Sus scrofa: one gene and its partners. The protein of the gene in region 3 purifies or fractionates together with the protein of the main gene of each other region. This does not show direct contact. Links are inferred from orthologs where the notes say so. Each region holds a gene or a part of one and is shown on either strand. Other genes may lie near its edges.

What was found.
Region 1: the proteins of SMAD3 (region 3) and SP1 purify together in Homo sapiens (affinity purification with western blotting; 7 studies listed by BioGRID, with this or other methods). This does not show direct contact. The link is inferred for Sus scrofa from reciprocal best matches to the Homo sapiens genes SMAD3 and SP1.
Region 2: the proteins of SMAD3 (region 3) and USP15 purify together in Homo sapiens (affinity purification with western blotting; 4 studies listed by BioGRID). This does not show direct contact. The link is inferred for Sus scrofa from reciprocal best matches to the Homo sapiens genes SMAD3 and USP15.
Region 4: the proteins of SMAD3 (region 3) and TRIM33 purify together in Homo sapiens (affinity purification with western blotting; 7 studies listed by BioGRID and IntAct, with this or other methods). This does not show direct contact. The link is inferred for Sus scrofa from reciprocal best matches to the Homo sapiens genes SMAD3 and TRIM33.
Region 5: the proteins of SMAD3 (region 3) and FOXO3 purify together in Homo sapiens (affinity purification with western blotting; 3 studies listed by BioGRID and IntAct, with this or other methods). This does not show direct contact. The link is inferred for Sus scrofa from reciprocal best matches to the Homo sapiens genes SMAD3 and FOXO3.
Region 6: the proteins of SMAD3 (region 3) and CTNNB1 purify together in Homo sapiens (affinity purification with western blotting; 6 studies listed by BioGRID, with this or other methods). This does not show direct contact. The link is inferred for Sus scrofa from reciprocal best matches to the Homo sapiens genes SMAD3 and CTNNB1.
Region 7: the proteins of SMAD3 (region 3) and RUNX2 purify together in Homo sapiens (affinity purification with western blotting; 3 studies listed by BioGRID). This does not show direct contact. The link is inferred for Sus scrofa from reciprocal best matches to the Homo sapiens genes SMAD3 and RUNX2.

Annotation. Positions count from the first base shown.
Region 1 is NC_010447.5:18,626,386-18,630,552, forward strand, and holds part of SP1 (transcription factor Sp1), read left to right. Parts: intron 1-2,406; coding exon 2,407-2,606; intron 2,607-3,017; coding exon 3,018-3,331; 3' UTR 3,332-4,167. UniProt on the Homo sapiens protein: Transcription factor that can activate or repress transcription in response to physiological and pathological stimuli.
Region 2 is NC_010447.5:26,962,772-26,967,464, reverse strand, and holds the start of USP15 (ubiquitin carboxyl-terminal hydrolase 15), read right to left. Parts: upstream 2,952-4,693; 5' UTR 2,627-2,951; coding exon 2,538-2,626; intron 1-2,537. UniProt on the Homo sapiens protein: Hydrolase that removes conjugated ubiquitin from target proteins and regulates various pathways such as the TGF-beta receptor signaling, NF-kappa-B and RNF41/NRDP1-PRKN pathways.
Region 3 is NC_010443.5:165,113,092-165,117,301, reverse strand, and holds part of SMAD3 (mothers against decapentaplegic homolog 3), read right to left. Parts: intron 2,788-4,210; coding exon 2,650-2,787; intron 16-2,649; coding exon 1-15. UniProt on the Homo sapiens protein: Receptor-regulated SMAD (R-SMAD) that is an intracellular signal transducer and transcriptional modulator activated by TGF-beta (transforming growth factor) and activin type 1 receptor kinases.
Region 4 is NC_010446.5:106,183,569-106,187,778, reverse strand, and holds part of TRIM33 (E3 ubiquitin-protein ligase TRIM33), read right to left. Parts: intron 3,362-4,210; coding exon 3,238-3,361; intron 1,552-3,237; coding exon 1,477-1,551; intron 1-1,476. UniProt on the Homo sapiens protein: Acts as an E3 ubiquitin-protein ligase. Promotes SMAD4 ubiquitination, nuclear exclusion and degradation via the ubiquitin proteasome pathway. According to PubMed:16751102, does not promote a decrease in the level of endogenous SMAD4.
Region 5 is NC_010443.5:74,737,967-74,742,176, forward strand, and holds part of FOXO3 (forkhead box protein O3), read left to right. Parts: coding exon 1-471; 3' UTR 472-506; intron 507-4,210. UniProt on the Homo sapiens protein: Transcriptional activator that recognizes and binds to the DNA sequence 5'-[AG]TAAA[TC]A-3' and regulates different processes, such as apoptosis and autophagy.
Region 6 is NC_010455.5:25,198,316-25,202,525, reverse strand, and holds part of CTNNB1 (catenin beta-1), read right to left. Parts: intron 2,316-4,210; coding exon 2,212-2,315; intron 2,133-2,211; coding exon 1,794-2,132; intron 1,516-1,793; coding exon 1,357-1,515; intron 1-1,356. UniProt on the Homo sapiens protein: Key downstream component of the canonical Wnt signaling pathway.
Region 7 is NC_010449.5:40,104,801-40,109,576, reverse strand, and holds the start of RUNX2 (runt-related transcription factor 2), read right to left. Parts: upstream 2,997-4,776; 5' UTR 2,892-2,996; coding exon 2,754-2,891; intron 2,554-2,753; coding exon 2,430-2,553; intron 1-2,429. UniProt on the Homo sapiens protein: Transcription factor involved in osteoblastic differentiation and skeletal morphogenesis. Essential for the maturation of osteoblasts and both intramembranous and endochondral ossification.

The DNA of each region.
Region 1 (4,167 bases), on a different chromosome or scaffold from region 3:
GTTGCAGATTCGATCCCTGGCCTTGCTCAGAGGGTTAAGGATCCGGTGTTGCTATGAGCTGTGGTGTAGGTCGCAGATGCAGCTCAGATCTGGTGTTGCTGTGGCTGTGGCGTAGGCCGGCAGCTACAGTTCCAAATAGACCCCTAGCCTGGGAACCTCTATACACCGCTGGTTCGGCCCTCAAAAGACAAAAAAAAAGAAACTTAAATCTGCTTATTTAAAAAAAAAAAATTTTGTCCCCTTAAAAATCCCCAAAACGGAGTTCCCTTTGTGGCTCAGTGGTTAACGAATCCAATTAGGAACCATAAGGTTTCAGGTTCGATCCCTGACCTCGCTCAGTGGGTTAAGGATCCGGTGTTGCTGTGAGCTGTGATGTAGGCCAGCAGCTACAGCTCCAATTAGACCCCTGCCCTGGAAACCTCCATATGCCCAGGGTGCAGCCCTAGAAAAGACACAACCACACACAAAATCACAAAAATAAGAAATGTACCAAAACAAAAAACATAATTTGAATTATTTGTAGTTACCCTACATTACAGGAAAAACCTGTATCAAAAGCAGGAAGTACAATGGAGTTTCACTCTAACAAAGCCTAGAGTGGATTTAAATGTTTTAGAAATTAGAAGGAAGCTTTCTGATTTGCACCTAAGTGTGATGTCATTTCCGTTATGGTTCCCCCCCACCCCCACTAATATGTGCTATTAGAACCCTAGAAAAGTCCCTCTTGGAAATCTCCATTGCCCACTAATGGATCACACATGGTACAAATTGATTTGGAAAAACATTTTGCAATTTAAGTTTCTCAAAATTTGCTCCATATAAGGAATATTTTTTTGTATGCCTTGAATTAGTTAGAGTCCTTATTTCTTCTGTCTATCCATTCCATCTTCCTCTTCCACTGAAGTCTCTGATATTTCACCATCTTCTGAAATCTATGGATTTTTTTTTTTTTTTCTTTTTAGGGCCGCACATGGAAGTTCCCAGGCTAGGGGTTGAATTGGAGCTTCAACTGCCGGCTTACACCACAGCCACAGAAAAATGCAAGAAAACGCCTTACATTTTACAAATTACTGCGAGAATGATTATCTCTTCAAACATTAGAATTGACTAAAGATTTGCCCTTTTTATTGGCTTCACCGGCAGCATCTGGAAGTTTCCAGGGCCAGGGTTTGAATCTGATCTGCAGCTGCAGCTTATGCCAGGGTTGCAGCAACACTGGGTCCTTAACCCACTGTATTACCATAGTAGTAGGAACAACTCTAAGAAGATTTTTTTTTTTTTTTTTTTTTTTTTTGCTTTTTAGGGCCGCACTGGAGGCATATGGAGGTTCCCAGGCTAGGGGTCAAATCAGAGCTTCAGCTGCTGGCCTACACCATAGCCACAGCAACTCGGAATCTGAGCTTCATCTGTGACCTACAGCGCAGCTCACAGCAGTGCCAGATCCTCAACCCAACTGAGGAAGGCCAGGGATTGAACCCACAACTTCATGGTTCCTAGTTGTATGCATTTCGGTTGCGCCACAACAGGAACTCCATCTAAGAAGACTTTTTTAAAAATAAGTTCAGGGAATTCCTGTCGTGGCTCTGTGGTTAACAAATCCGACTAGGAACCATGAGGTTGCAGGTTTGATCCCTGGCCTTGCTCAGTGGGTTAAGGATCCGGCGTTGCCATGAGCTGTGGTGTATGTTGCAGACTTAGCACAGATCACGTGTTGCTGTGGGTCTGGCATAGGCTGGTGGCTCCAGCTCTGATTAGACCCCTAGCCTGGGAACTTCCTATGCCATGGGAGCAGCCCAAGAAATGGCAAAAAAGAAAAATTAAAAAAAATTTAAAAAGTAAAAATAAGTTCAGGAGTTCTCTGGTGGTGCAGCGGGTTGGGGATCCAGTATTGCCACTGCTGTGGCGTGGGTTTGATCCCTGATCCAAGAACTTCCACATGCTATGGTTGTGACCAAAAATTTTAGAGTTCCTGTCTAATTAAATTTTTAATTTAAAAATTAAAAAAAAAAGGAGTTCCCGTCGTGGCGCAGTGGTTAACGAATCCGACTAGGAACCATGAGGTTGCGGGTTCGGTCCCTGCCCTTGCTCAGGGGGTTAACGATCTGGCGTTGCCGTGAGCTGTGGTGTAGGTCGCAGACTCGGCTCGGATCCTGCGTTGCTGTGGCTCTGGCATAAGCTGGCAACTACAGCTCTGATTAAACCCCTAGCCTGGGAACCTCCATATGCCGCGGGAGCGGCCCAAGAAATGGCAAAAAGACAAAAAAAAAAAAAAAAAAAAAAAAAAAAAATTAAAAACAAAAAAAAGATTTGCGTTAGTTTTGAGTAGACCTAGTAATTACTGTGGATACTTTGTGATTATTTTTTGTCTCTAGAATGAATGATGAGTAATTATGTTCTCACTTTCAGGGGCTCCGGGGATCCTGGCAAAAAGAAACAGCACATTTGCCACATGCAAGGTTGTGGCAAAGTATATGGCAAGACCTCACACCTACGGGCACACTTGCGCTGGCATACAGGCGAGAGACCATTCATGTGTACCTGGTCATACTGTGGGAAACGCTTCACACGTTCGGATGAGTTACAGAGGCATAAACGCACACACACAGGTGAGCAGGAATTTGGGAAAGGGAAAAGTAGTAATAGACAAGAGAAAAACACCAAATTTACCTATGAAATAACTAAAATTTCTGAGCAACTCATGTTTGAAACTGAATGTATGGATCACATAGGGTGTTGGAGTTAATTTGGAAAACCTTTAAGAAGGAAAGAGCTAGTTTTTGACTGGGGGTTTTAAAAGTACTGCCTTACTTTTCTGCATTATTCCTTCCTTTCTGAGTACTCCCCAACCATTACCTATTTGTTGTCCCCCCCGCCAAAGGCAGAAGATATTCACCAGATTTTCTTGTTTTCAATCACCAAGATTAGCCTTATTCTACATTGTATAGTTTGAAAGCAGTGAATAGAAGGTACCCCTACTTCCTGAGATGTCAGTTTCTTCATTCTCTTCTTTTACCTAGGTGAGAAGAAATTTGCCTGCCCTGAGTGTCCCAAGCGCTTCATGAGAAGTGACCACCTGTCAAAGCATATCAAGACCCACCAGAATAAGAAAGGAGGCCCAGGTGTAGCCCTAAGTGTGGGCACTTTGCCCCTGGACAGTGGGGCAGGTTCGGAAGGCAGCGGCACTGCCACCCCTTCAGCCCTTATTACTACCAACATGGTAGCCATGGAGGCCATCTGTCCAGAGGGTATTGCCCGTCTTGCCAACAGTGGCATCAACGTCATGCAGGTGGCGGATCTGCAGTCCATTAATATCAGTGGCAATGGCTTCTGAGATCAGGCACCCAGGGCTAGAGACATATGGGCCATACCCATCAACCCTGGGATGCAAGGTAGCTTGGGTCCAAGAGACATGTGGGAGAGCGAGCCATGAGGCATTAAAAATGCATGGTGGTGGGAAGAATTGGGGGAGGGCTACAAGAGAAGAGATGGGGTCCTGGCACCCACCTATATCATCAATACCTCCTTGAAGTGGGAAACATTAGTGAAAATTCTGTTGGTGCCACCCTTTGATGAGCATTTGTTTGACCCCAGACAGTTTCTTAACACTTCTTACCCCAGCCTCCCCGTCCTGCATTTCCCTTCTCAGCTCCCCCATGATGGATCCCCCCTTTCCTAAAGCCATCATGCCTTGATAAATATATATGATCATTGAAATACTTTTTAACAAAAAACAGATTCTATATTATATATATATATATATATATATAAAAGATATATAGAGATGCATTTGCAGGGGTTGGCTGGGAGGAGGAAGGAGACCATTCTGTGACCAAAATACCTTGGTCATTTTTTTTTTTTTTATATTGCCTTATTTCCTTATGGCTGAGCCTTGTTGTGACACATCAAGATTTTCTACAGATGTTGTCTTGGCTTCCCACCAGATTAAGCATTTATATGCTCTGCTTTTAGTTTATATATACATACATAATATTTTTTTCTTTTCTTAATTTTGTCTTTTAATTTGGGATCAGCTTCTTGCACTCCTTTCTTGACTCAACCCTTTCTGTCTCCCCTTCTCTCACCTGATCACTTCATGTTTTGTTTTTGGTAGTAGTCCCTGGATGAGGCACTTCTGTCATTCTTTTAAAGTCCTTAGTCCCAGCAGCA
Region 2 (4,693 bases), on a different chromosome or scaffold from region 3:
GGTTATATACAGATATTAAAACAATGTTCCATTTGCATATGGCTGGTTTCAAGAGTAGCACACAGGATTTGTTCAAATACCCCCAAATGACTAATCCAATGATTTTTTAAAAAGACATTAAAAACAGAAAGAAGTTTTTAACAAGTTTTAATGAGTTCAAAAAACATGAGCCCAAGTTACAACTAATTTATTAAGCATCTTTACCAGTTCTGTACTCATGGATACATTATCAAATTTGTGCTTATCAAATTACTCTTCTTAAACTCTGAATCAAACTTCTGATAATTCCTTTTTGGGCAGGTTTCACCTCCAAGTAACTGGCTCATATATAAACCAAACTAGTTTCTGCAGCATCCCAGTATCATCTTGTTTATTCATTTTTTCCTTTAAATAAGAGGGGAAATTAATTGTGAGGATCAACATTTGCACATTCTGCTGTTACCTAAATATCTGGTTTTCAGTTTCCTTTTCTTTCAAATGAAAGCACTGAAATGACTCAAATGTATAGACTTCTTGTATTTGCTCTTTTAAAGAGATCTTTAAAATGATTTACAGTAACTTTGGCAAAAAACAAAAATGCTGAATTTTAAAGTTTAATGTTCATAATACACATAGTACTCCTAACATCCTGCAGTGTCAACACCACCAATTATTACACAGTATACCAATGTTAATACAACATTTAATGTCAACACAACATTAAACCCAATAAACATAAGTAATATCCAAATAAGTATCTCTAAATTTTAGATTTCTATTTTGTGGAAATCTACATTTATCTTTTTATGAGGTGGTAACAGGCAAAGTAAATTAAGAATCTGAAATTTTTTAAGTTCTTTTTTTTTTTTTTTTCAGCATTCAGTGGGATTCCCAGATCAGGGATTGGACCCTGGGCTGCAACAGTGCAAGTGCCAAGTCCTAATCACTAGATCACCAGGGAACTCCCTAAAGTGCCCTTTAACAAACAATAAGAAGCAAGCATTCATTTCATCTGTAAGGATCCATAGGGCAAGGCAAACATAAATGTCCTAGGAAAAGTCCAATTTCCCCACAGTAATAAACGCCTGGAGGCACACATTGGAAGAACACTCCAATATGCACAACAATGATTTTTAAGTCTGATTTTTTTTTTTCTGTAATGCAACAAAAATATATTTACACCCTCAGGGATCATATAAACATAGTATGCAGCCTAACAAAGTAGGATAAAAGTACCAAGACTTACATCAAAGTATTAAAATTCAAGTCCCATGTCTGCCATCTATTTAGCTTACTTGAAAATGATCCTAATACCTTGGCATTTTATCAGAAATGACAGTGATAAGATAACTAAGATTTAATTTCTCATAAACAGAAAATCTTTTAGAACATTTCACTGAAGTCAAGTAAACTCCTATAATGAAATTATTCTTGTCCACTTCATAGATGAAGATACGAAGGTGCAATGGTTTAAATTAACCTTCCTCAAAGTCATACTGCAAGTTAAGTGGTGGAAAGGTAACCTAACGCGGGTCTAAATCTTAGGCTCCTTCCACTAAGCAATATTGAGTAAACGAAAAAACACTCCGCAAATTATATGCCACTGTTACGGTGAAGATGGGAAGTGAAAATTTTTATTGTAATAAAGCAGTACATTAGCCTTCCTAATAAAACACAGCATTTGTGTTACATATTCACATAACTGAAGTTATTCTGGATATCACTTGATATGGCCCACAAACATTAAAATCACCAAATACTTCGTTCAGTATTTCAAACTGTAGCATTTCGTATTTCATAAGTTTGAATGTTAGCAAGTGACTTAAGCCTCAAGTAGACTTATCTACATTTTGCAGGCCTATGTTATCCTTCAAACCGGAGGGAAAGGCTGCACTTCTAAAAGAAACGCTGCCGGAGTCTATCCAGCCTCCACTAAAGCACAGGACCACGTGGTATCTATCACTCAGAAGCCTAAGGTTCCCGACTCCTCTCCCTCCTTTTGACAAGGAACCAGAAACTAAGGTTCCTCTCTCTTAAGTGGCGCCCTGACACATGCCACCTGTGCAGTACGAACCGCAGACATCCTGCAGTCGGCCTCCCGGAAGAATACGAGAATCAGAACAGGGAACTTGGATGTCGACAATGCCGGGAAAGGAAATGACTAAAGAAGTAAAGAGGGTGAGATCGCGATCCACCGTGGGACCAAGACCTGTCAAACATTAAGAGACTCGCACCCAACGACTGTAACCTATCCTTTGGGAAGGCCTGAGGTGGGAGCGGCACTACCAGAGGAAAAAGGACGAAGAGAACTGCACGAGCCGCCGCCGCCGCTCCCCGCAAGGCTCCCAGCATGCCCCGACGAGCCACGAACCCCGGCCCTCATTTCAGGTCCGATCTTTGCCCCAATCTTTCCGGAGCGGCCAAAATCCTGCTGCCCGAAGGCGGCCGCCGCCGGACCTGCCCGCACCTGTCACCAGCGAAAGACACCAGCCCGCAGTTCCCGCCCAGTTCTCCACCACCCTCGGGCAACCACAGCCATCTCAGTCGCTTTCCCTTACCAGGTGTCTCCTTTCCGGAGGGAGGTTTTGAGCAGCGTCGCGATGTCAGACCGCTGGATGTCCAGATCTGCCGCTCCGCCTTCCGCCATCTTCTTCCACTAGCGGTAGCGGAGGCGGCAGCGACAGCGGCGGCACGCTCCAGAGCATTGTGGGAATGGCGTCCCGCGGCCCCTCCCAGTCAGCAGGTCGAAACCAAAAGAGACGTAAGGGTGGGGGGGTGCGCCTGCAGACAAGAGTTGGCTCCGGGCGGAGTGAGTGCATTGCCATGGTCTGCTGCTCCCCATCGGCCCCCGCCGTCCAGCAGCTCGCCTCGGCCTCCTCCGGCCGGGGACCGCCTGGTTTTAAGTCTCCTCTCTAGGGCCTCGGTCCTCTCTCGCTTGAGCGGTGCTACCGCCCGATCCATCCTCGACTTCTGCCTTCCCCTCCCTCTTTCCCACAGACGCCTGAAAACCCTTATTTGCGCATTCACTCACGCTTGAGGGTGGGGCGAGGCGGGGGGCGTGGGGACGACTAAAATATGGCAGAGGATTTCAGCAACTCCGTGACTCGAGTCTTTCGTTGCGAGTCGCAGAACCTAAACTCAATGAATTTTGGACCAAATGGAGAACAATCCGAAACCGAACGCTTAGCCGCAGTGCTCTTTCTGGGCTCTTCCTTGCGCTTCTACTATTGCTGTAGGTGGAGACCTTTTATAGGCTCTTTGTGACGCCTCCCCAGGCACACCCTGGCAGCTAAGCTGCAATGAAAAACATGTTCCAGTTCCTCAGTGAACAGGGTGTGAAATATATATCGAATAATGCCGGGTACTAAAGGGAGAAAAGATGGGCGAGAAACTCTCCTCAATGTTATGAAGTCATATATTCTTATCTTCCCATAATGTATACACCTGAAGCTAGATAATACCTATTATTTGACGCCAATTACTTTATAAATGGGGAAATCGAGTCTCAGAAATCAAATGCTAAGGTCATGCCGTAAGTGGACAGGCAAGTTTATACCCAACCCGTCGGCTGTCTATTCACTATAATACACCCATTACTTCTCCTTATGAAAGCTTGAACTAAAAGGTAAACTGGGTTATGCTAGCTTTTTTTTTTTTTTTTAACCTTTTACAACTGGTGCCTAGCACAATGCTGCCTAACACATAAGAACTACCTAAATATGTGTTTAATTAATGAATTGTGGCAAACTGCTTAAGTAGTTCCAAGCATGAAGATGTCCAGAGATTTGACTTTAAGATAACGTGATGTGAAAAGGCTAAAGATGAATAAGAATTCCTACATAATCTCTCTTTTTTTACTTATTTTCGACCTCTACCATAACTCATTTGGTGGGAATGCAGTAAATGGGTGCAATATGCTAGTAAGAAGTGCTGACCCCTTCCAAGTTACGGTAATGTATATTGGCATTATAATTTGCATATAGCAACATTATGATTGCTTATTTCCTTTAAAATAATACTATTTTGCACTTTCGTGTTATCCTTGATTTGAAATTCTGAAACAGCTTCCAGGTACTGTATTGCTTGTACTATTTGACTTTTCTTTTGACAGGTTAAAATAAACATAATTTGTTTAACTATGAGTATCATCAAAGGGTCACACCTCCCTTCTTTCCCACTCAACCTCTGAAAGAGAGCGTAGTATTTTCCTAAGAGAGGCAGCATGGTATGGGAAGAATAGTGACTTCATGTTCAAAACTTCACTTCAACCTCTAGTTGCAAAGCATTTAACTTATAGTTTAGTCATTAGGTAATACTTATGTTAAAGAATTTTTCTGCAGATTAAGCAAGACAATGGTGTCTATTCCTGGAACATAATAACCAATCAATAAACAACTAATCTTTTTCACTGTTGGCAGGATGAATTGTAATGGTGTGTAAATTATATCTCAATAAAACTGTTGGAAGAAGTTACTTTGAAGGTAAACATACTCTATTGTTTATAAATATAATTGAGGACTGATACCTCAGGCACACTCATGCTGTTCAGTTCCCTTTCAAAGTGCATTGGTAATATGTCGAAATCTGTATCCATGAAACAAAATAAAATAACCTCTTCTTCATTTGCACCGTGTTCAAGGTAATGAGGTAAAAGGATAAGATGTATAAAAGTTCAATGTCAATTTGAATTATATGTCAGATTGATGAGGTCATT
Region 3 (4,210 bases):
TCTTCAGGTTGCATCCTGCCAACAGAACAAAACAGTGATTGTGGGCATGGAGAATACCCCTGTCTGGAGCTCCTCCCTCCCCGGGCTGAAGGTGCCCCCCCCATTCACCTGGACGAGTGTTCCCACTCCCTGCCCTTGAAGCCATCACCGCCCTGAAGCGGACGCAGCTGACATGGGTGAGGGGGGAGTTAAACACTGGCCTGTAGGCTCCGAGCCCCAGAGTGGGAATGCTGAGGAAGTTAGCAAGGTGGGCCCAGGAACAAGGGAGATGGGCGGGGAGAGGTGGCCCTGCCCTGGGCAAAGGGGCCAAGGCAAGACTCCAGGGAACAGAGAGAACAGAAGGTCCATGGTGGTGTGGGGTGTGGCGGACAGCCTGGGCAACAGCAGCCCCTGCTCTTGCATGGCGGGAGTGCCGGAGGCAGGCCGTGCCCACAGGAAGCTCTGCAGAGGGTCCCTGGCTGCCCTCCACCCCAGCCTCACTGAGGAAGCCACCTCTGCCGGGGCCGGGAGGGAAAAAGAGGTCTGGGCCACATTTGGCCTTGTGGGCACAAGACTGGGTCAAGGTGACATTCGCAGCAAAGCCAAGGTGTATGCCTAACTCCCCAGGCAGGAAAACTAGAGACAGGCACACATGAAGTTTATAATAAATCTTTTGTTTGAAGTCCTGCCGCCTCTGTGCCAGGAATGTGTCAACCGGAAAAATAAAAGACAAAAAGCACATGCTGGAAATGCCCAAAAGGTGAGCTGAGGTGACACTTGCTAATGGGCCACCCTGGGCCCCTCGGCTTGCTGTGTGACTCTGGGCTGGTCACTTTCTCTTCTAAGCCCTGTGTCTCCCTTGTAAAGGAGAGACTGGCCTCAAAGGCCCCCAGCTCTGACATTCCATGAGCTAACAACCACCACCACAGCCAGCTTTGCCCTCACCAGAGACAAGGAGGGCGGGGTGAAGGGATGGGCACAAAGTCAAGAACGCAGCCTGGCTTCCTCTTCTCGTTTTTCTCTGAGGGGAAGCGGGGTGAAGCAGGGTCAAAGGTGGGCTCCAGCCCCCTGCCAAGCAAGCAGCAAGAAGCACACAGCGATAGGCTCATCCTGGCTCAGCCACTTACTGGCTGTGTGTCCTTAGAAGGTGGCTTAACCTCTCTGAACTTGTCTCTTCAACATGCCTCCCCCTGTAGAGCTAGGGTTACTGGAGGGAACTAAGTGAGACCCGAGATAGACATGTGCTCTGTAAACACAACCATGTGACATCCCGGAAACAGCATCGCTAGGCAACTCAGACTCTGCATTCTTCTTTTTTTTTTGTTTTTGTCTTCTTAAAGGCACCTATGGCATATGGAAGTTCCCTCTGTGCCAGGGTCAAATGGGAGCTACAGGCCACAGCCACAGCCACACCAGATCTGAGCTGCACCTGTGACCCAAACTGCAGCTCACAGCAACCCCAGATCCTTAGCCCACTGATTGAGGCTAGGGATTGAACCACATCCACATAGAGACGTCAGGCCTTTAACCCCTGAGCCATATCAAGAACTCCCAGACTCTTCCTTCTTAAGCTGACCCTGCCAGTGGCCCACTGCTCTCCAGCATCACCTGCTACTTAGCAGGCAGGAAGACATCACACACACACACACACACCCCCACAGGCAACGACCTAAGCTACACACTCTCCCAGTCAGGCACACTGCATGCTCTGCGGCTGCCCGCCCTGGGAAAAGTGGGTTTCGCGGGGGCTTTCTGCCTCCGCTTTTGCTGTGAAAAGGATTTGGATAAGATCACCTCCTGCCTGGTCCTCTACCCAGACCTGGCCCTGTTCAAGCCACCGTCTGGGGTGAGCCTGACTCCTCTTGGAGTACAAGTGGGATTCACAGCCCGACTCAGAAAACCCTCAACAGGGCCCCCAAATAAAAACAAAACTTTCTCACATCTTTCCATGGCTTGGTTCCATCAAACTTTCAAAACATGATCCCTGACTGTCTCTTACAGGGCCTCTGCTGCAGCCAGAGCGCTGCCCACACGTGCCCTGCCCTCCATCACCGCTGGGCCTTTGCCCATAATGTTCCCTCTGCCTGAATGCCCTCACGGTCCCCACCCCATCCCTCTGTGCATCTAATACTTACCCATCCTTCCCAGCCCAAGCTCTTCTCCTCCAAGAAGCTTCCTTGATCCATCCTAATAATTCAATGTGTTTTCCCCCTTAGATCCAAGAGCACCTTACCTGTGCTGCCTACTTGGTGCTTAGCACCCTCCCTTGTATTAAACCCACTTGTATCTTTGCCTTGTACACTGAGATGATGGGTAAGGTCTGTGGGGATAGCAGCAGGGCTTCCTGCTCCCCTCCAGCTCCGCATCTGGAATGGCGGAAGGAAAGAGGGAAGCTAGCCAGCACACCACCTGAGCATCTCTGCACACAGGCAATGAGCAGGTACCCACAGGTGAGAGGCAGATCTGTCAGATGCTGCATCTGCTCCTCAGAGGTTCAGGAAGCTCAGAGTGAGAGAGCAAGCCACAGAGAAAAATCAAGCGAAGCACCTCCAGATTGGCCATGCAAACACCACTGAGGAGAAATGGTAAGAAGAAACCTCCCCTGCATCCGAGGCATGTGCCTTGGAGGAGAGGACCTCAGGGAAGGGGTAGGTGTGTAGGTGGTGTTACCTGGTGGGATCTTGCAGACGGTGGCTGGGTGCCAGCCATAGCGCTGGTTACAGTTGGGTGACTGGACAAAGATGGCGCTGTCACTGAGGCACTCTGCGAAGACCTCCCCTCCAATGTAGTACAGCCGCACGCCTCGCCCTAGAGAAACTCAGGTCAGTCTGGACCAGGCCTTTGGTCCTCACACAGTGGCCCTGGCACCAGCTGAAGAGAGCTACAGCCAATGCTCCAGGTGACTGGTTCTTTGCTGGTATCACCAGGCAAATGGGACCAGAGCCCAAGCCTAAACCCATCAAAAGTGATGGGTGATGCTGGGTTCCTAAAGCTGGGGAGGCTGGTGATGAGCAAAGGGCACAGCTAAGCCTAAACAGCAGCTCCTGCCACTGACCAGGGCCTCAGCCAAGTTACTCAGCCTCTAAGCCTTAGTTTCTTCATCTGTAAGATGGGGATGATACTACCTACACCTCATTGGGTTGTTGTTAAGACACTCAGTAAGGGCCTGACAAGCATTAACTGCTGCTCCTGCTACTTCTACTACTAGGTCCCGACCCGCTCCAAGATTCAGAAATTCACGGAGTCACTGCAGAGCTCTTCCTGAGGCAGCAGATACCCCAGGAGCCCCTCACTGCAGGGATGACTTAATGAATGCCCCTCCACCCCCGTACCTTTCTCTCCTGGAAGCATTTTTCTAAAACATTCCATAGGTTTATATCATTTACTTTCCCTTCATCTCTTAAATCCACTCCAGATGGACAGGAATTATTTTTAAATTGGCTCTGCAATTCAAGTGGTTACATAAACCCTCTGACAATGAGTCTCTGCTCAGCCAGGGGATGTTCTCTTCTCCTGCCTGGAAAGGTCTCTGTTCCCGCTCCTGGGGGGAGAGGCCTGGAGGGCTGGAGAACGGAGCCAGATTTCACAGGCGCAACGTCAAATGGGATGGAAACCAGGGGACTGACTACAGGCCTGCCTCCTCGTCCCACCATTGTCCTCATCACCACCACTCCCCAGTTCTTCCTGGTTCAGTGTTATAGGACTTGGCGTCTCACAGACACCGGGTGCTGGCAGAGTTGGGGGCCACAGGGAGGGCCCCAGCGTTATGTCAGTCAAGAGTAGGAGGCAGAGGAGTTCCCGTCGTGGCTCAGCGGAAACGAATCTGACTGGTATCCATGACGCAGGTTCCATCACTGGCCTCGCTCAGTGAGCTAAGGATCTGGTGTTGCCGTGAGCTGTGGTGTAGGTCAGATGCGGCTCACATCTGGCATGGCTGTGGTGACAGGCCAGTGGCTACAGCTCTGATTTGACTCCTAGCCTGGGAACTTCCATATGCCATGGGTGCGCCCCCTCCCAAAAAAATGATCAGGAGGCAGAGGCACAGGTGGAAAGACCCAGACCCAAAGGACAAAAACATTTGTTCTCGTTTTGATAATTTCTGACATATTTTAAATAGAGAAAAGTGTAAAGTGAGTGAGTAAACACCTGTGTATGCCATCTAGGATCTTTTAAAAAGTAAAACAAATGGGGAGGCTGTCTGGGAAGGATGAAGGCTCAGCAGCAGGGACTC
Region 4 (4,210 bases), on a different chromosome or scaffold from region 3:
TTGGCCAAAAACTGTGTATCCCTGGTAAGTAACTGAACAGAGAGAAGCTACTTAAATAGTTCATGAAAATACTGCACAGTCCGTCATTTTCTACTGTAAAGTCCCTGAACCTGCAGACCAGACAGACCTCCTATATCTCAAGTCCAGTAACAGATGATTACTATCTGAAGAAAATATCTATCTTGTATCTAGACCTTTTGCATTTTAAAATCCATTTCTGAGGACTTCCCATCGTGGCTCAGCAGAAACGAATCAGAAACTGTGTCCTTATGGACACTAGTCAATCTTTGGCCTCACTCAGTGGGTTAAGGGTCCGAGCTGGCGTGAGCTGTGGTGTAAATCGCAGATATGGCTCAGATCTGGCATTGCTATGGTTGTGACATAGGCTGGTGGCTACAGCTTCGATTTGACCCCTAGTCTGGAAACCTCCATATGCTGTGGGTGTGGCCCTAAAAAGCAAAAAGCAAAAAAAAAAAAAAAAATCCATTTCTGAGCTTACCTAGTAAACAAATTACTATTCAATACTCTATATAACCTGCCTGGTATTCAATACTTTAATTCAATAACTGATGGCAACCAAATAAAATATGTGTAGCATCTTCTCATCCCATTTATGAGGCACTGAGCATCCCTGGTATTCTCTTTCACTATGGGGTTTTGGAGCCTTTATTCCTTACAAAAGTCTCCTTTAAGATAAAGGGTATTGGCTTACAAAATAAAGGGTTTTTGAAGGCAGAACCAATGTGAAAGATTCAACTTTACACTTTATTCAAATGAATTCTTATATAGAGATTGTTTTCTCCCCAAGGTACAGATCCTAGAATCACAGAACTGGAATCTTAGAAATAATTTAGTCCAATATTCCCACTATATAGTTTAAAAAAGTAGAGGCAGAGAGTTCTCTTGTAGTGCAGCAGGTTGAGGATCTGGCATTGTCATTGCCCTGGTTCAGGAACTTCCACTTGCTGCAGGCAGAAAATTACATAATTTCCCCAAAGTTACAAGGTTGGTTAATGGCAGAACTAGGAGAAGAAGTTAAGTCTTTTGATTCCCAGTTCAAGATTTTTTCTATTATACCTGTACCTAAAATCCCTTATGTCCATCTCAAAAGTAAAAGAGGACATGGTGATTAAATTCATTAAGTTTTCATCACTGCAACAAAGTCTTTAAAAACAGACTGCAATTTTAACAAGTGAATTTTATATGCCACTTACCCTAATAAATCATAAGTACGTCTTATTAATCAGAAATTTTATCAGGTACTATGCTAAAACATTTTACACAGGTTATGTGTGGAATCCTCAAAATAACCCAAAAAGGGAAGAAACAGTATTAGAAAAGAGAACTTAATAAGCACCTTGATTGAGGAAATTATTCAAGAAGCCTTAGTTTTAACATCAGTCTAAGGCTATGGCCCATACCCTTAAGTATTATACTAAACATCTTCACTAGGAAGGTACTAACTAAATAACTCACCGAAGCAGGAACTGGCTCCTGAAATTCAATACTTAATTCATGGCAATAGAGGTAAAGCAGAAGACGTTCACATTTCTGGCCCAAGAAAAAAAAGGAAAATCTATGAAATGTTATTCTCACGAATATCTTAGGGAGAAGAGAACTTTCTCAGTATTATTACAACAAAACTGAAAATAAGCCTCCTAGATACATACTAGTTATCCAACAAAATATACACACCCAAAGAAAACTACCTTGTTTCCCATTTAGTGTCCTACTTTAAATGAACTTTATCAAAGACAGAGTGGCTGTGTTCTTATTTGATTAAAAAGTAGGTAAATTGGAGTTCCCGTCATGGCTCAGCAATTAATGAATCTGACTAGGAACCCTAAGGTTGCAGGTTTGATCCCTGGCCTTGCTCAGTGAGTTAAGGATCTGGCGTTGCTGTGAGCTGTGGTATAGGTCACAGATGCGGCTGTGATCCCACATTGCTGTGGCTGTGGCTGGCGGCTAGAGCTCTGATTAGACCCCTAGCTGGGGAATCTCCATATGCCGCGGGTGCAGCCCTAGAAAAGACAAAAAAATAAAATAAACTCAGATAATTTACCTACTTCTAACTACACAAATGGAAAGAAGTCATAAATGCAATATACACAGCATTCTATACAAAAATTTATCATTGTTGCTACTCATTGTAATTCCCTGAGGCAGGCAAGACACAGTCTATATTCTGGCGCCCCCCCCTCCCTTTTATGGCCACACCCATGGCACATGGAAGCTCCTGGGCCTGGGACTGAATCTAGGCCGAAGCAGCAGCTACTGTGGGGATTCTTAACCCACTGTGCCACAGCAGGAACTCCCTTTTTTTTGGGCGGGGAGGGGGGGGTCAGGTGGTGGGGGAGGGGGTTGGCTATTCCCTTTCTTGAAAGGATTCTGCTTAGGTTCAAAATTAAATAAAAACTGTCTTCTCAATCTCAATCCAATTCCAGAATTTTTTTATACAATCAGAATAAAATTGAAAGGCAATTTTACATTTATAGTTTTTATCTGCTTAAATTTCTTTTAGCATATGTTTCTATACTCTAAATACATACCTTCTCCTCAAAGACAGTGGAGGATGAATTTTGCAAGTTTATACATCAGATCAAAGCCAAACATAACTGTAATGGCCACAAAACTATGTGACAGACACTCTGTCTTTGGAAATCAAACTAGACCAGATCAACAAAAATATGAGTGAAATCAGAGGATTTTAGATTTCATTCTATGATGGGAAGCTATATTAGAGGATTTTTAAGCAAGGAAGGGAGAGAGCTGCTGACATATTTTTTAAAAAAGAACAGTACAGAAAATGGGCTGTAAGGGGCAAGAGAGTAGATCAGGGAATTCAGTAAAGAGATTATTAAAACAATGCAGATGAAAAATTATGATGGCTATCTCAGAAGGTAATGGTGGGGGGAATAGGAAAATGGTGATGATGGGGACTACGGGGGGAGGAATGCAGCTTTTTTATGTTATTTGCTTGTTTTTATTGATTTCTAATGCTCTCCTTCAAAAAGCAGCATTTCACAACCAAAATCTTAAGTATGAGGATGCTTGATATAAAAGCCTGGAGCTGAGGGCTAGAGATAAAGATTTCAGAAGTCAGGAACATACTATCAGAGAGATTAAAAAAAAAGGAAATTTATCAGGTTACATGTATATTACATGAAGAAGGACAAAAAGATGTACAGCCAGACAACTACAGAATCCGTATAATAAATCAAGTTGTTTGACACTTACCCTTTGGTCCACGGGGCTTAACCCCTGTACAGTTTTCCCCTTTTTGCTATGCTGTAAATTATCACAATCATATTCAACTTCTGGTTTCCCAATATCTCTGCAAAATGTGCATATCCAGTCCCCACTAAAGAAGGAAATAGGCAATTAGTCCATGTAATTACAACAAAACTTGCTCTAAGGAAGCTAATTCTCCAGTGTCTTGTTTCCTTTCCAGTTTGTGTGGAAAAGAGAGGTACTATTTCTGCCTCATCTCATAAAGTAAAGCTGTGTGATGAAAACTTCCAAAAACGTTTCCACTCTTCAACTGACCACCTTCTGGAAAGCAGTAAAAAACCACTATCTCTATTCAAATAGCTGAATATCAGCTATTTGATAAACAAGCTGAAGATCAGAACTTGTAGCTTAAGACCAATTTTTAAAACCCAGTTATCACCATCACAGTGACGCCACATGCACGAAGAAGAGTACAGGATACAGAGTTTCTCAGCTATCTTGTACTGTTTTAGCATGTATTAAACATGTCAAAAATAATCGTGTTTTTTTTTTCATGTCTGATCTTTTAAATCTGCTCAGTCAATAGTTTATGGTTTGACAGAAATCCTAATATAAACTCTGATACATTACTTCACATGCATTCTCTCCTTTCCCTCCTCCTTCATATATGCATTCTAAATCCAGGGATTACACTAACACTGTGTCAACACTTTCGATTTCTTCCACAGCATCTGCCTTTGAGAGAAAGCTTTCATGGCAAAATCATAACATTCCAGCAGATGTTACTACCCAAAAGAAATAAAAGCATTGGCATTTTGGTCTTGAAATTAAGGCTTTTTCTTTTCTAAGAGTGAAGATAAAGGCCGTTAGAAGATATAGTCATTTGCCATAGATGTACTAAGATTTAAGTGAGAATTACAGTTCTTTAGAAAAATATTCAGGTACTATTCATATATGTCCACTTTTCTAATACTAAAGG
Region 5 (4,210 bases), about 90 Mb from region 3:
TCCTTTGCCGCCCAGCCTAACCAGGGGAGTTTGGTCAATCAGAACTTGCTCCACCACCAGCACCAAACCCAGGGCGCTCTCGGTGGCAGCCGTGCCTTGTCGAATTCCGTCAGCAGCATGGGCTTGAGCGACTCAAGCAGCCTCGGGTCAGCCAAACACCAGCAGCAGTCTCCTGTCAGCCAGTCTATGCAAACCCTCTCGGACTCCCTCTCAGGCTCCTCCTTGTACTCAACGAGTGCGAACCTTCCCGTCATGGGCCACGAGAAGTTCCCCAGCGACTTGGACCTGGACATGTTCAACGGGAGCTTGGAATGTGACATGGAGTCCATTATCCGTAGCGAACTCATGGATGCTGACGGGTTGGATTTTAACTTTGATTCCCTCATCTCCACACAGAACGTTGTTGGTTTGAACGTGGGGAGCTTCACTGGTGCTAAGCAGGCCTCATCTCAGAGCTGGGTGCCAGGCTGAAGGCTCACTGAGGAAAGGGGAAGTGGGCAGAGCAGGTCAGTGCCCAGTGCTGTGGCGTAGTGGTAACGGGGTGGGGGTAGGGAACCGCCTTTTGTATACCTGGTGCATGGTAACCTGCTCCCACCCGGTTCTTTCTGAGTTGTACCTGCAAAACAAATAGGGCCGTCAGGGTCCCCTCCCCACAGTTTGCTGACAGCTCAGGACTTTTACCAGAGGCTTTCGTTTTTCTTTGCGTCCAGTCACCCTCACTGACCTATGACACAGGTCCCCCTATTGGATGGATGGATGAGGAGACAAGGGAAAGGAGGAAGGGGACCTTAGGCCACACAAATGTCAAGGTTAAGGACCCAGCAGTGGACTTTCTTAGAGTCTCAGGTCCAGCTCTGCCATTGTCGATCTTCCATGCTGTGGGTTTTATATCTTTCTTTTTCAGTAAAGTAACAGTTTTTGGGTACTTCTAATATAACTGTAGACTGTGTATTCTGGACTCTTTCATACAGGAGTATGTCTACCAGGAGCCAGACCTGTTAGATTCTTCACCACTAGTACTAAGCATCTTTACTAGTTAGCACTTAGCATCTAAGTATTTAAAAGAGCAAAAGAATTCAATTGAAAACAGAAGTGTTTATGTGAGAGAGCACTTTTTCACATGCTTCGTTTTCCCCGAAGTATAAAAGATGTCAGATTCCAAACAGTGACATGGGTTGTGAATGGAGACAGATTTTTTTAAATTGTGGCATTTTAATTCTGTTGGAACCAGAAAGATCATGCAACATGATATGGAAAGAAAAGCATTTGCTTGGAATCAGAAGTTGAGGATTCGGTTCCACTTCTCTTGCTTTCTGGCTGCTATCGGAAGTGTGTCACTTAGCCTCTGAGCCTCAGTTGCCAGCTTTATACCATGAGGATAATAACCCCTGTTGCTTAATGGGGTTATTGCAAGCGTCAGATGCACTGGGAGTTCCCTGGTGGTCTAGTGGTTAGGACTCAGTGCTTTCACCACTGTGGCCCACATTCAGTCCTTGGTCTGGGAACTGAGATCCCACATCAAGCTGCGGCACACTGCAGCCGCAGCTCCCCTCCCCCCAAAAAAGGCCCTAAAATGGAATCCTTAAACACTGAAATGTGCAAAAGTGCTTTTAAAACCACAATGGTTTGAAATATGTATGGTGTAATTAGGTAAACATACTGACAGACAGATGAGTAAACAGGGAGCCCAGGAAGGTTAAGTAGTTTGCCCAGGGTCACACAGCTAGACCCAGAATCCCAATTTCTGAAATGGCTTGAACCGTAGTTGTTCTTTCTAATTATCTCTAGATGGTGAAAATGGGAAATGCTCTGAACTGGAGCCAGAGGAGCAGATAATATACAAGCTTGCCCTCAAACAACTCTCCCTTTCAAGTAGCAAAATGAGCATCAGGTCTTTTGCTCACAGGCTTGCACAACTCTACTTCCCATGTTTGGGGGCTCTGTTCTATGCCCCGGGTCCTCTTTTTTCTTTTTTCTTTTTTTTTTTTTTTCTCTTAAATGTCAGCAAGCTACTCTTCTTTAAGTGGTGGGAAAGAGAAGTGGGATTCAAAGCCATAAAAAGCTGAGCCTTGTTTAACCCTCTGCCCTGGTGAAGGAATTACCAGGGTCCCTGCGGTGCGCCATCCAGCTCACACATAGTTGTAGAAAAGGGAATGTCGAGTGTTGTGATGCTCAGCTTCTCTGCTTTCCCAGGCAGAAGCAGGCCCCTAATGGTTCTCAGACATCTGTTTCCAGTCATTTAATAGCCCTTGAGATGGTAAAAAGACTGCAACAGAAGCCAAATAGGGTGACACACTTTCATGCTGCCAAAACTCGGAATGGGGGAGATTTGCCTTGAGAAATTCAGATATTTGGCTTTCAGAAGAATAGTTTGTCTTCCTTTAAGAAGAGAAATGTGATTGTGGCTTCTAAAGACCCAAGGAGGTTTTAATTTTGGTTTCGTTGTAAGGCATCCACATTCTAGCTCACTGAAAAGACTGAGAGAAGAAAATGTGCTGTCGGTTTTTGTCTGACTTTTCAAGTGTAGGTTTTCCTCTTAGCTGAAGAGCAGACCTTTCGTGTGTGTGTGTGTGTAATTCTAAAAGATTGTATAAAAACATTTTAAGGGAGATTTAAATACTTAACTTTTAAAAATGTATTTAATGAATCATTACTATTTTGATAATAAACTGCTTTTGAGACTACACATATTTTTAAGATTACTACCTACTTTTAAGATTACCCATTTTGTGATTATACCCTATTGGAAACAGGGACGTTTAGTCACCTCAAAACATTTTGAGGGAAGTTTTTTTGAGAAAATATTTCTGAAGTTAAAAAAAATATATATATGGGAAGTCACCAAATTTTCCTGAAACTAAACCAGCTCAGTATGACCAGAGCAAGAGAGGAAACATCCTGAAGAAAGCCAAGGCCTCTGAGGGAGGCTTGGTTTCTGAGTGTACAATTTCCATTTTGCTTTGGAATGAACTGCTCCTCTCAGCTGGGAGCATATGTGGCCTAATATAGATTCTTTACTTTGACACTGAATTCATGCCATCACTTTATGGAAGTTTCTCCTAAATTCACAAGGCAAGCCTTAGGTCATAGTCTCAAAACTCATTTCTCCCAAATTTAGCAGCCCAGCTTCCCAAGCCTTCTTCTGTCATGGCTTTCTTTGATTTGACTTTTTTTTTTTTTTGAAGAGCTGCACCCAAAGCATTTGGAAGTTCCCAGCTAGGGGTCGAGTCACAGCTACAGCTGCTGACCTACACCACAGCCACAGCAACACAGGATCCTTAACCAACGGAGCAAGGCCTGAGCTCAAACCTGCATCCTCATGGATACTAGCTGGATTTGTTTCTGCTGAGCCACAATGGGAAACTCTGACTTTTTTTTTTTTGTCTTCTCTATGGAGGTTCCCAGGCTAGGGGTCTAATTGGAGTTATAGCCACCAGCCTACACCAGAGCCACAGCAACATGGGATCCAAGCCATGTCTGTGACCTATACCACAGCTCACAGCAATGCCAGATCCTTAACCCACAGAGCAAGGCCAGGGGTCAAACCCACAACCTCAGGGTTCCTAGATTCGTTAACCACTGAGCCACAACAGGAACTCCTGACTTTTTTTTTTTTTTGATTGAAGCCAATAGTTGTTGTATTCTCCAGCCCCACTTCCTGACTTGCTAACTAAAGTCACAGGACCCTGAGTGGGAGCCGTCAAGTTGTGGAATTAATGGAGCCGTTCTGTCCAATTGACAGACAGTCTTGCCGGAGAGCCGTGGTGAGATGCTTCTCTGGAGAGCTGGGTGTTTCACACACGCCATTCATTTTAGACCACGTGTGAAATCCTTTGACCTACAGGTCTATCTAGAAAAGGAAAAAAATCACTGTACTTTCTTATGCGCACCAGCTACTGGGTGTGAAGGGCACTTTCTTCTCTCAGGCGCTCATGAAGCTTGATGCACATACTTGAAGATTGGTAGCAGGCATGTCTGTGAGCCAGTGTGGTGGTTGCAAAGCAGAGCTTCCAATAAGCCCTCCTGAGATCGACATGTGTCCACACTCGGAGGGAAAGTACCTTCAGTTTCACGGTCGTGATGTCAAAAGAGGCCTAAAATCACATGCTCTTTCATTTGTCTACATCTTTGGGCCTTTGGGAACCCCATTAGGGAGAACCCCCAAATTTATCTGTGTTTTAAACACCTTTAAAGTAAATACCAACCAGGA
Region 6 (4,210 bases), on a different chromosome or scaffold from region 3:
TATAAGGCAAAAGAATCAGAAAAGGAATGGATATGTATACACATAACTGATTTACTTTTCTGTACACCTAAAGCTAACACAACTTTGTAAGCCAACTACACTCCAATAAAATTTTTAAAAAGATACACAAAGATGGTAAAGAAATGTGCTGTATCAGTGTTTTCTTTCAGATACTCCCTCTATCTTTGTACATCTAAAAGTTTTATTACCAACTGCTAAAATTCTGTTGAGCTGCCAGTAGAAAACCCACTCACCTCCTTCTGAGACTATTCTGCTTTCCCTGTTTCTGAGTTTTAAATAAGGTTAAAATTCTGCTAATTTTAGAAGTTTTTATATTCAACCTTTTTTTTTTCCCCCTCGGCTGAACCCTCAACATATGAAAGTTCCTGGGCCAGAGACTGAATCTGAGCCATATCTGTGACCTACGCCACAGCTGTGGCAACACTGGATCCTTAACCTACTGTGCTACAGTGGAAACTCCCTCAACTTGATTTTTATGAAGACACTAAAATTCCTTTCTTCAAAAGAGATTTTGAAAGGTATCCTTTGAATTAATGGATAGATAAAAAGTACCCTTTGCATCCTATTAAGTCACCTCATGGAGATGGGCCAATACCAAGTCATAAATGGAGAAAGCCAAAGCCCCCTAACAAATGCATACATATCACAACCACCAATAAGTCTTAAGACCTGTTCTGGTTAGGTCTTGTTCTCTAAAGTAACCTGATTAAATGAGACTCTTTGAAGGTCTGGGTCATTTTAAAATACATTCTGAGGAATCAGAAGTATCTTTAGATACTTGTAATGAAGAGCTAGTTTCAAGACTGCAAACTTGACCTCAACGCCTTAAGGCTAAGAAGATTTCAGAAATGCTACTACTTATTCTTGTAATTTGTTGGTATTCTTAAGTCCATGAAAATAGTTTAAATCACTCTTAGAAGAGATAGTAAAAGGTGTGTTAAATATTTATAGATAGAAATGTAGCTCTGAAATCAGACTTGGATTCAAATTATGGCTCTGCTATTTTCTGAGGAGTTGAACCTGTGTGTGGATTAATTGAGACCCCACAACAAGAAGTTACACTCTCCACACTCCCTTTGTAAGACTGATGAGGCAATGATATTAAGGCCATGTCAAGGGAAATATCACTAGGGGACACATTACTCCAAATAAGGATCTTTTCTGCAACCACAGTGACATGTTGGGTTTTTGTTTTTTGTTTTTTAACCATTAGCAAGCAGCCCTTCAGCAGGCAGGAAGATGGATGGAGGGGAGCCAATAACCAAATAGTTTAGGATTCTATGGATTTATGCATTCCTTTTAAATAAGTGGATGTCACTATTAAGATTTACCTACCACAAACTGTTGCTGTGTTCCACCCATGGACGTACGGCGCTGGGTATCCTGATGAGCACGAACCAGCAACTGAACTAGTCGTGGAATGGCACCCTGCTCTCGCAAAGGTGCATGATTTGCTGGACAAAGGGCAAGATTTCGAATCAATCCAACGGTAGCCTGTAGACAAGAAGGACGAGTGACAAACTGTCATACAACTCAGCAAAATCATTTTCTTATCTTAAAATCCCTGCCACACTAAATCTATTGCTATCACTTGAAAGCAGAGCTGACTACACAAACGCTTCAAACCCCTACCCCATCCCAGTTATTATTTCCTATTTAGTAAAGAATACAACTCCTATTTATCAATCCCTGACACCTAGACAGCCATCTAATAACAGCTAGAGATAGTTCATTTTCAATTCAGCAACCTTCTACTCTGATTGACAACTTACCTTGATGAGAGGCCAATGGGATGGTGGATGTAGGAGTTTAACCACAACTGGTAGTCCGTAGTGAAGGCGAACAGCATTCTGGGCCATCTCAGCTTCCTGGTGTCGGCTGGTCAGATGACGGAGAGCACAGATGGCAGGTTCAGTGATGTCCTCCCTGTCACCAGCACGAAGGACAGTACGCACAAGAGCCTCTATACCACCCACTTGGCACACCATCATCTTGTTTTTATAATTATTGCAAGTGAGATTAGAAAGAATTCCAGCTGCACAGGTAACCACATTTATATCATCCGAGCCCAGAAGCTGAACAAGGGTCCCAAGAAGACCTTCCATCCCTTCCTATGGAGATGAAAACAGACGCTCAGTACAAATTCAGCTTGACTTTTATCACTATGGTGCCACTTTACTGAGAATTTACCTGTTTAGTTGCAGCATCTGAAAGATTCCTAAGAGTCCAAAGACAGTTCTGAACAAGACGTTGACTTGGATCTGTCAGATGAAGTCCTAAAGCTTGCATTCCACCTGAAATGATTAAAAAATATCTAAGGCGATGTCTACTAGCTCACAATTCCTACTAAGTGTCTTCTCTAGTCTTAGAGGATGCCCCTCTTTATTGTCATTGCTTGTTCCCCCAATCTGAGTCCTTTATTTCCTTTTGTGTCTAGAATGCTGCTCAGTTTCCCCTTTTCAGTTTACTTCAACTAGTGACAACTTCTGTCAAGTACCTGTAGTTTCTTCCCTATGTGAAAAGAGCTTTCATTACCTCCACAGTCCTCCTTGTAGGTAATATGACTATTACGTATTTCCTTTCATCCTGTCATTTCAAAAATATTTAATAACAGGCCCTGTTTAGAGTTGGAGCTATACCAGTGAGGAAAATAGCCTAAAATTCCTACCTTCATAGAGCTTATGGTCTAATTGGAGACAGACAAGAAACACGCATACAAATTAGTAAGCTAAATATAGTACGTCAAATGGTGTTAAGTGCTACAAAAAAAAGGGAACTGAGGGGTAAAGAGCATACTTAGGTCAGTGTGAAGGTGACATCTGTGCAAAGACCTGAAGGAGCTATATAATCTCATGAAGTGAGAACAATCCAAAAAAAGGCAATGGAATGCTTATTGCCTGAGGCTCTGTAAAAGGCACTGACTCCAAAAGCTGTGCTCCAAAGATTCACAACCTTCTGTCATTTAGGTCTCTGACTGACACTGGCAGAGGAATCTAAATGGAGGCTCAGTTCCCTACAGATTGGCTTAACTTCACTCTCTCTCTCCTACTGAAATCCCTTGTAAATGCAGTGAAATACACTGTCCCTTGTCTCCTTGTTCATCTCTTCAGGTCTGTTTTAGTCCCTCAATTAGGTTATGTCTATTTGCTATAATTCTCAAGGCACCTCGTACTTTTTCTTCACAGCATCAAACACAACTATAATTTAGCCTTCCTCTCCTACAAGACAAGATCATCCCTGCCTGGTTTCTTCCTCACAGAAGCTCCAGCTGCTAAGAAAGTGACCTGCACAAGGCTGATGCTCAGTATTTCTTAAATGACTCAATTCCCTTCTACCTTTTCTCCCTCACAGACTTCGTTTCCTCCCTTTACTATAAGTATTAACTCTCACGAGGGTGGATATCAATTCCGGATAGCCTGTAGAGACTTAAAAAGACACACATTCTGATTCCACCTGTCTAGGATCAAAGTCCTGTGCAGATGACTGTGAGGGAGCCCTACCTCTTCCCTGTAGCCCTCACCCACATACACTAAGAGGGCAACTCCCAAATCTCTATACTAGCCCAGTCTTCCCTTGCATTCCAGTAGTATGTATTTCTAGCTACCTACTGACCTTTTAGTCACTTTGAATATGTGAGCTTCTTAAGTAACATTTACCCTTTGCTACATATATTTAATATCAAACAGTTTCATTCCTAGGAGGCTATAACACATCTCAGTGGCCTGGTCTGCTTGCCTTTGGTTATTCAAACTGTCATACAATGCTTGCAATTTTTTTTTTTTTTTGCTTTTCAGGGCTGCACTTGCGGCATTTGCAAGTTCCCAGGCTAGGGGTCAAATCGGAGCTACAGCTGCCAGCCTATGCCACACCCACAGCAACTCCAGATCTGAGCCATGTCTGCGACTATGCTGCAGCTAATGGTAACACCAGATCCTTAACCCATGGAGTGGGGCCAGGGATCAAACGCACATCCTCATGGATACTAGTTGGGTTCGTAACCACAGCAGGACCTCCCACAATGCTGGTATTACTATTTCAAACCCGCCATGGCTCAGTGGTTAATGAATCTGACTGGCATCCATGAGGACCCAGGTTCAATCCCTAGCCTTGCTCAGGGGGTTAAGGATCTGGCACTGCCATGAGCTGTAGTGTAGGCCAGCGGCTACAGCTCTGATTCGACCCTTAGCCT
Region 7 (4,776 bases), on a different chromosome or scaffold from region 3:
AACGGACTTTATGTATGATAAATAATGGACAGATTTTGAGTAGTACAGATAATTCTTGAGATAAATGGTTTGCTGAGAGAGCAAGGACACTGAAACACTTTTTTGTCTCTCACTGTCTCTGTCTCTCTCTTGCATACACATTATTTTCACTCATTATTTTGAGGTGAGACAGTTGGTCAGCATGTGCTTTGTCCCTCGCCTAGGAAGAGCCTAATTTTAAAAACTATTTTACAAAAATCAGAGCACCTACTTTTTGACATTTCATTAGGTTGTTCTGATAATCATTACGTAAGAATTTAAAGCCTGAAGTGAGGTTTGAGACTTCAGAAAGATGACAGAATGGAGAAATGTTTGCAGTGTGATGATAACCTATACACAGTGTCCCCCACCCACCTGTAATTAGTCCGCTGTGATGGGTTCATCTTACGTTCTCTGTCCAGGCTCTCAAGTACTATTTGGGAGTGGGAGAGGGAAATTCCACTTTTCAGAAGAGAAAGAATTAGTTATAATGTCTAAATGTATATGACACGTGATAGATCATGCCTTGTTCGACACTTGGTCAAATTTCGAAAATTTTACTATAGAAATAGTTGTTAAGGATTGTTATAGAAATATAAGACTCCCTCATATGATAGCATAAAGAACATTTAAAAATATTCTTTGTGATTATGTTAATAACTTGTATGTCTAATGCTGAAGTAGTCCTTGAAATTTGTGTTGTTCCCAGTCTGGTTTGAAAATTTTTTTGTTTTTAAACAGAGGAATATTGTGAAGAGTAACTTAACTGCTTGAGATAGATGCCTGCTTCAAGTTACCCCTCCATATAACAATAGTTTTAACCATTTTTTCCCTCATCTCTTGGGTAGGAACAGCAAAAGTTTCTGTGTATAAGCTGTAATTATAATAGGAGTTGTTCATGCAGTCTAGTTGTATGTATGTTCTGTTTCCTTAATGCAGAGATTTTTACAGAAATGCTCATTATCTTTCATTAAATCGGAGAAGTAATCTGTGATTATTATATTGTATGTGTTATAACTGAGGGGCCCACTTAGAGCCACCGAGGGAGTTACTGCAGCAATTTTACATTTTTTGGTAAAATACAAAGTACATTTCCTCACCCTTTTAAGAGAAATCCTTTTTTCTCCGTCAGGTTTAATTATTTCTCTTTGACCAAAACTAAGACTGATCCTCTGGTAGCCAGTTAAAATGTGTGAAGTAGGAGGAGTAAAGGAAACTCCAATCGTTAGTTGTAAGTTATAAAGCAAAAGTTAATACAGATATACACAGCCAAAGGGTTTATTTCAAAGGATAAAAGAAAATTTTATAAACTTGCCTTGTAGTTGGAACATGTTGGACATCATAAAGAAAATCTTGTAAGTGTTTAGATATTTTACTGTATAATACCATGTTGGCTCATGAATGCTGAAGTAGTTTACTTTTGTGAAGCAACACTGACTTGAAATTGAAATATTAAGGAACTATATTTTGCCTGTTTTCTTTTAAAGTCCAGCATGACTTAATTGGTATGGCTCTTTTAAATCATGCAGGGTATCCTTTCAGAGTATTATTTTTTATGAGATGAAACGATACTCATTTTGGTAGTTCTAGAATATGATTAAAAGAATCCTAGACGTTTCAATGTTTGCTATGTGTTTATAACAAGTTCTACCAATGGAGAATAGTGTGTGGATGTAAATGAAAATTATAATTGCACGTTAAGTTAAGTTTTTTAAAGACTTCTATGAGCTTTTCATTATCCTGGATATCCTGGGCAACTCTAAAAATCTAAAAAATGGCTGTTATATACTTATAATTTTATTTCAGTTGAATATATGCCTCAACTATGTAAAGCTGTGTAGAAACAAACAGCTTAGGAAACAAAGCAGGTATCTTATGATGCAGTTTAAAATTGTAAATTTCTTTTAGTTGAGCTGGTTAAAACGTTAGTTATACTACAGGTTTATTTCTCTGTTTTACATGGTAGAGTATAATGTCAGGATAATTCTTTGGTCTGTTATTTTGTAAAATTGCTTCCTTTTTAAAGTTTGCTCAAATACTGGGAGCTGCCGGAGTGACTATTTCACAATACTTTGATTAATTTAATGTCTACTTTTATTTCAGTGAGGGTTAATGAGAATATTAAACTTTACTGTTTCAACTACCTCATTTCTATAACTCTAGAAAACATTTAGACTAATGTGAGATAATCTTTTCTGTTTCAAGTCATTAGTCCGAGAAGTAGATAAGTTACAGATGGCAAATGCAAATTGTACAGTAATTTCATTTTTCAACTTCTAGTGCAACAAAATAGCATTATTATGATCTTTAATAGAATGGTATCCGGAAAAGCTAGCAGTTTATGCAAGAAACATACCTTTATGTTTAACAGGTTCATCTCTTAGAGGATTTTAAAATATGATAACACTTACCCCAAAAGAAGTTTTGCTGACATGGTGTCACTGTGCTGAAGAGGCTGTTTGATGCCATAGTCCCTCCTTTTTTTTTCAGATAGAACTTGTACCCTCTGTTGTAAATTCTGCTTGCAGCCTTAAACTGAAAACACAAACCATACCCAAACCTTGTTTTAGTTTTACAGTATGCCTGCAGTACATAGACTTGATATTTATTTTTTTCTGTCAAGAAATTATGTAGCTGGTAACATGTGAAAAGCAAGGAAACAAAACAAAAAGAGAATGAGCAAATATTTGAAGGACCTACTATTACTGCACAGACTGTGGTTAGAGAGCACTCACTGCCTCTGTTGGTCTCGGTGGCTGGTAGTGACCTGCGGAGATTAACCATTTAAAAACCAGAGACTTCTTGCTGTCCTCCTGGAGAAAGTTTGCACCGCACTTGTGGTTCTGTGGTTGTTTGTGAGGCGAATGAAGCATTCACACAATCCAAAAAAGCAAAAGCTTTAAAACTCCTTTTTTTGCAAGCACTATTACTGGAGAGACAGAATCATGTGGTTTGTGACCTCACAGTACTCACAGTCAAGTGGGACTGCCTACCACTGTGGCTTTCCCCCCAGCTCTTGCTCTCTCTCTCTCTTCCTCTCTCTCTCTCCCTCTCTCTCTCTCTGACAAAAGGCTTGTGGTAAGGCCCTTCCTGGCATCCAGAAGGATATAGCTTTTTAATTTTTGTGACTCATGAGGATTTGGATAGAATACAAATGCTGAAGGAGCCCTAACTCCTGGAAGGTTAAGCATTTGTAGAGCAGAGCTCTGCAGTTGTGGGCTTTCCTTTCTGTCCCCCCACTCCCACTGTTTTGTGCCTCCTCCTTTTATTTAGTTCATTATTGTGTCTGCGGAAAAATGAGCAAAATTGGCTCAAGAGGCTGTGTGTGAAATTCTGAACAACAGTGATGATTTACAATAATTTACATCTTTGGATTGTATCACATTCTGGGGTCTGCTTCATATTTGCTGGGTGTTTGGAGTCCTTCTGTTTTCCTTTTTCTTGTCTTCTTAAACTTGTGAATCTGTAACTCATTGTAAAAAAGTTTACCTTTCTAAAGGTCTGGTTGCAAACTGCTTGCTGGGCTTGACTGTAATTGGCTGTCATGAAAGTGTTAGTCTGGGGATTCCTTTACAAATATTAAATCATGTCTGTCTAGTTGATGTATGATCAATATTAGATGCCGGCTTCTACAAAAAGATTAAATGTAATTAGTATCTTTTATATCATGTTTACCTTTTTCTCATGGCTAGTTTGAGGATCTTATAAAAGTGAAGGGCAAGAACTGTCAGTTATTGGATGAATCTTAGTTTTCTTTATGCTTGTAATTTTATTTTTCATCTTGTATAATCCTTTGAATAGTTTATTTGGATATTAACTTTATCCTTTGATAGGAAATCTGATACAAACATAAAATAAAATTCTTATGTTGTAATGTAGATTGTTCAATGTGATTGATTTTTCCAAGCTCAGAGTAGAGTGGGTTAACAGAAAATTGTATTTTTTGTTTATAATATAGGGTTTGAAATAAATTACAAAATGCTGTGTGTAGTAAGGAATAATGCACACAGACAGAGTATGTTAGTCGTCTCGATTTGCTAATTCTGATTCAGAAGAAAATTGGAAACATCTTTGGGAAACTATCTCCTTTTTTGCCCCTTTGGACATGTATGTATAGAACTCATTTTCTTATTAGGATGATTATATATCATAGGCAGAGAATTTCATATTTATGAATAGAGCTTCCTGTTTTCATCAGTTGAGAGCAATAGGGTATTTTTTCAACAAAAATTATGAAGCCGAACAGACCAATTTTCTAGGCATTTTTTTGCCATTTATCCACGCCACTCTGAATTTGCATGTTAGACTTCTTCCTAGTGTGATAGTAACCAGGAGTGGCACGAAGTAAATGACTGGGAGGGTGGGCGGAGACATGAACTACAAGACATTATTTGGGGTGTTTAACGGGGTAAGTGCTGGAGAATGCTAAGAGAGATGCGAGAGCCAAAATACCCCTTTGTGTGGTCATCTTAGTACTGTTCGTTATCTGCTTTTGGTTTACAGTCGGTAAAGATAAATGTACTAACATGTTTATGAGTCTCTTTACAAAAAAATAATTTGCCCAAAATATGCTAGGAACTTGTGGGAATGACTTTCATCTTTTATCATTTAAATGTCTAGAACTTTTTCATAATAAACTTTTGATGATAAAAAAGTAGAAATACATTTTAGTGTTTTATTTTAAATATAGATTTATCATGCTTTATTGTGTTCCGAAACATCTTTTACATTGAAAAGCAAAAGCTTTCATTTAATATG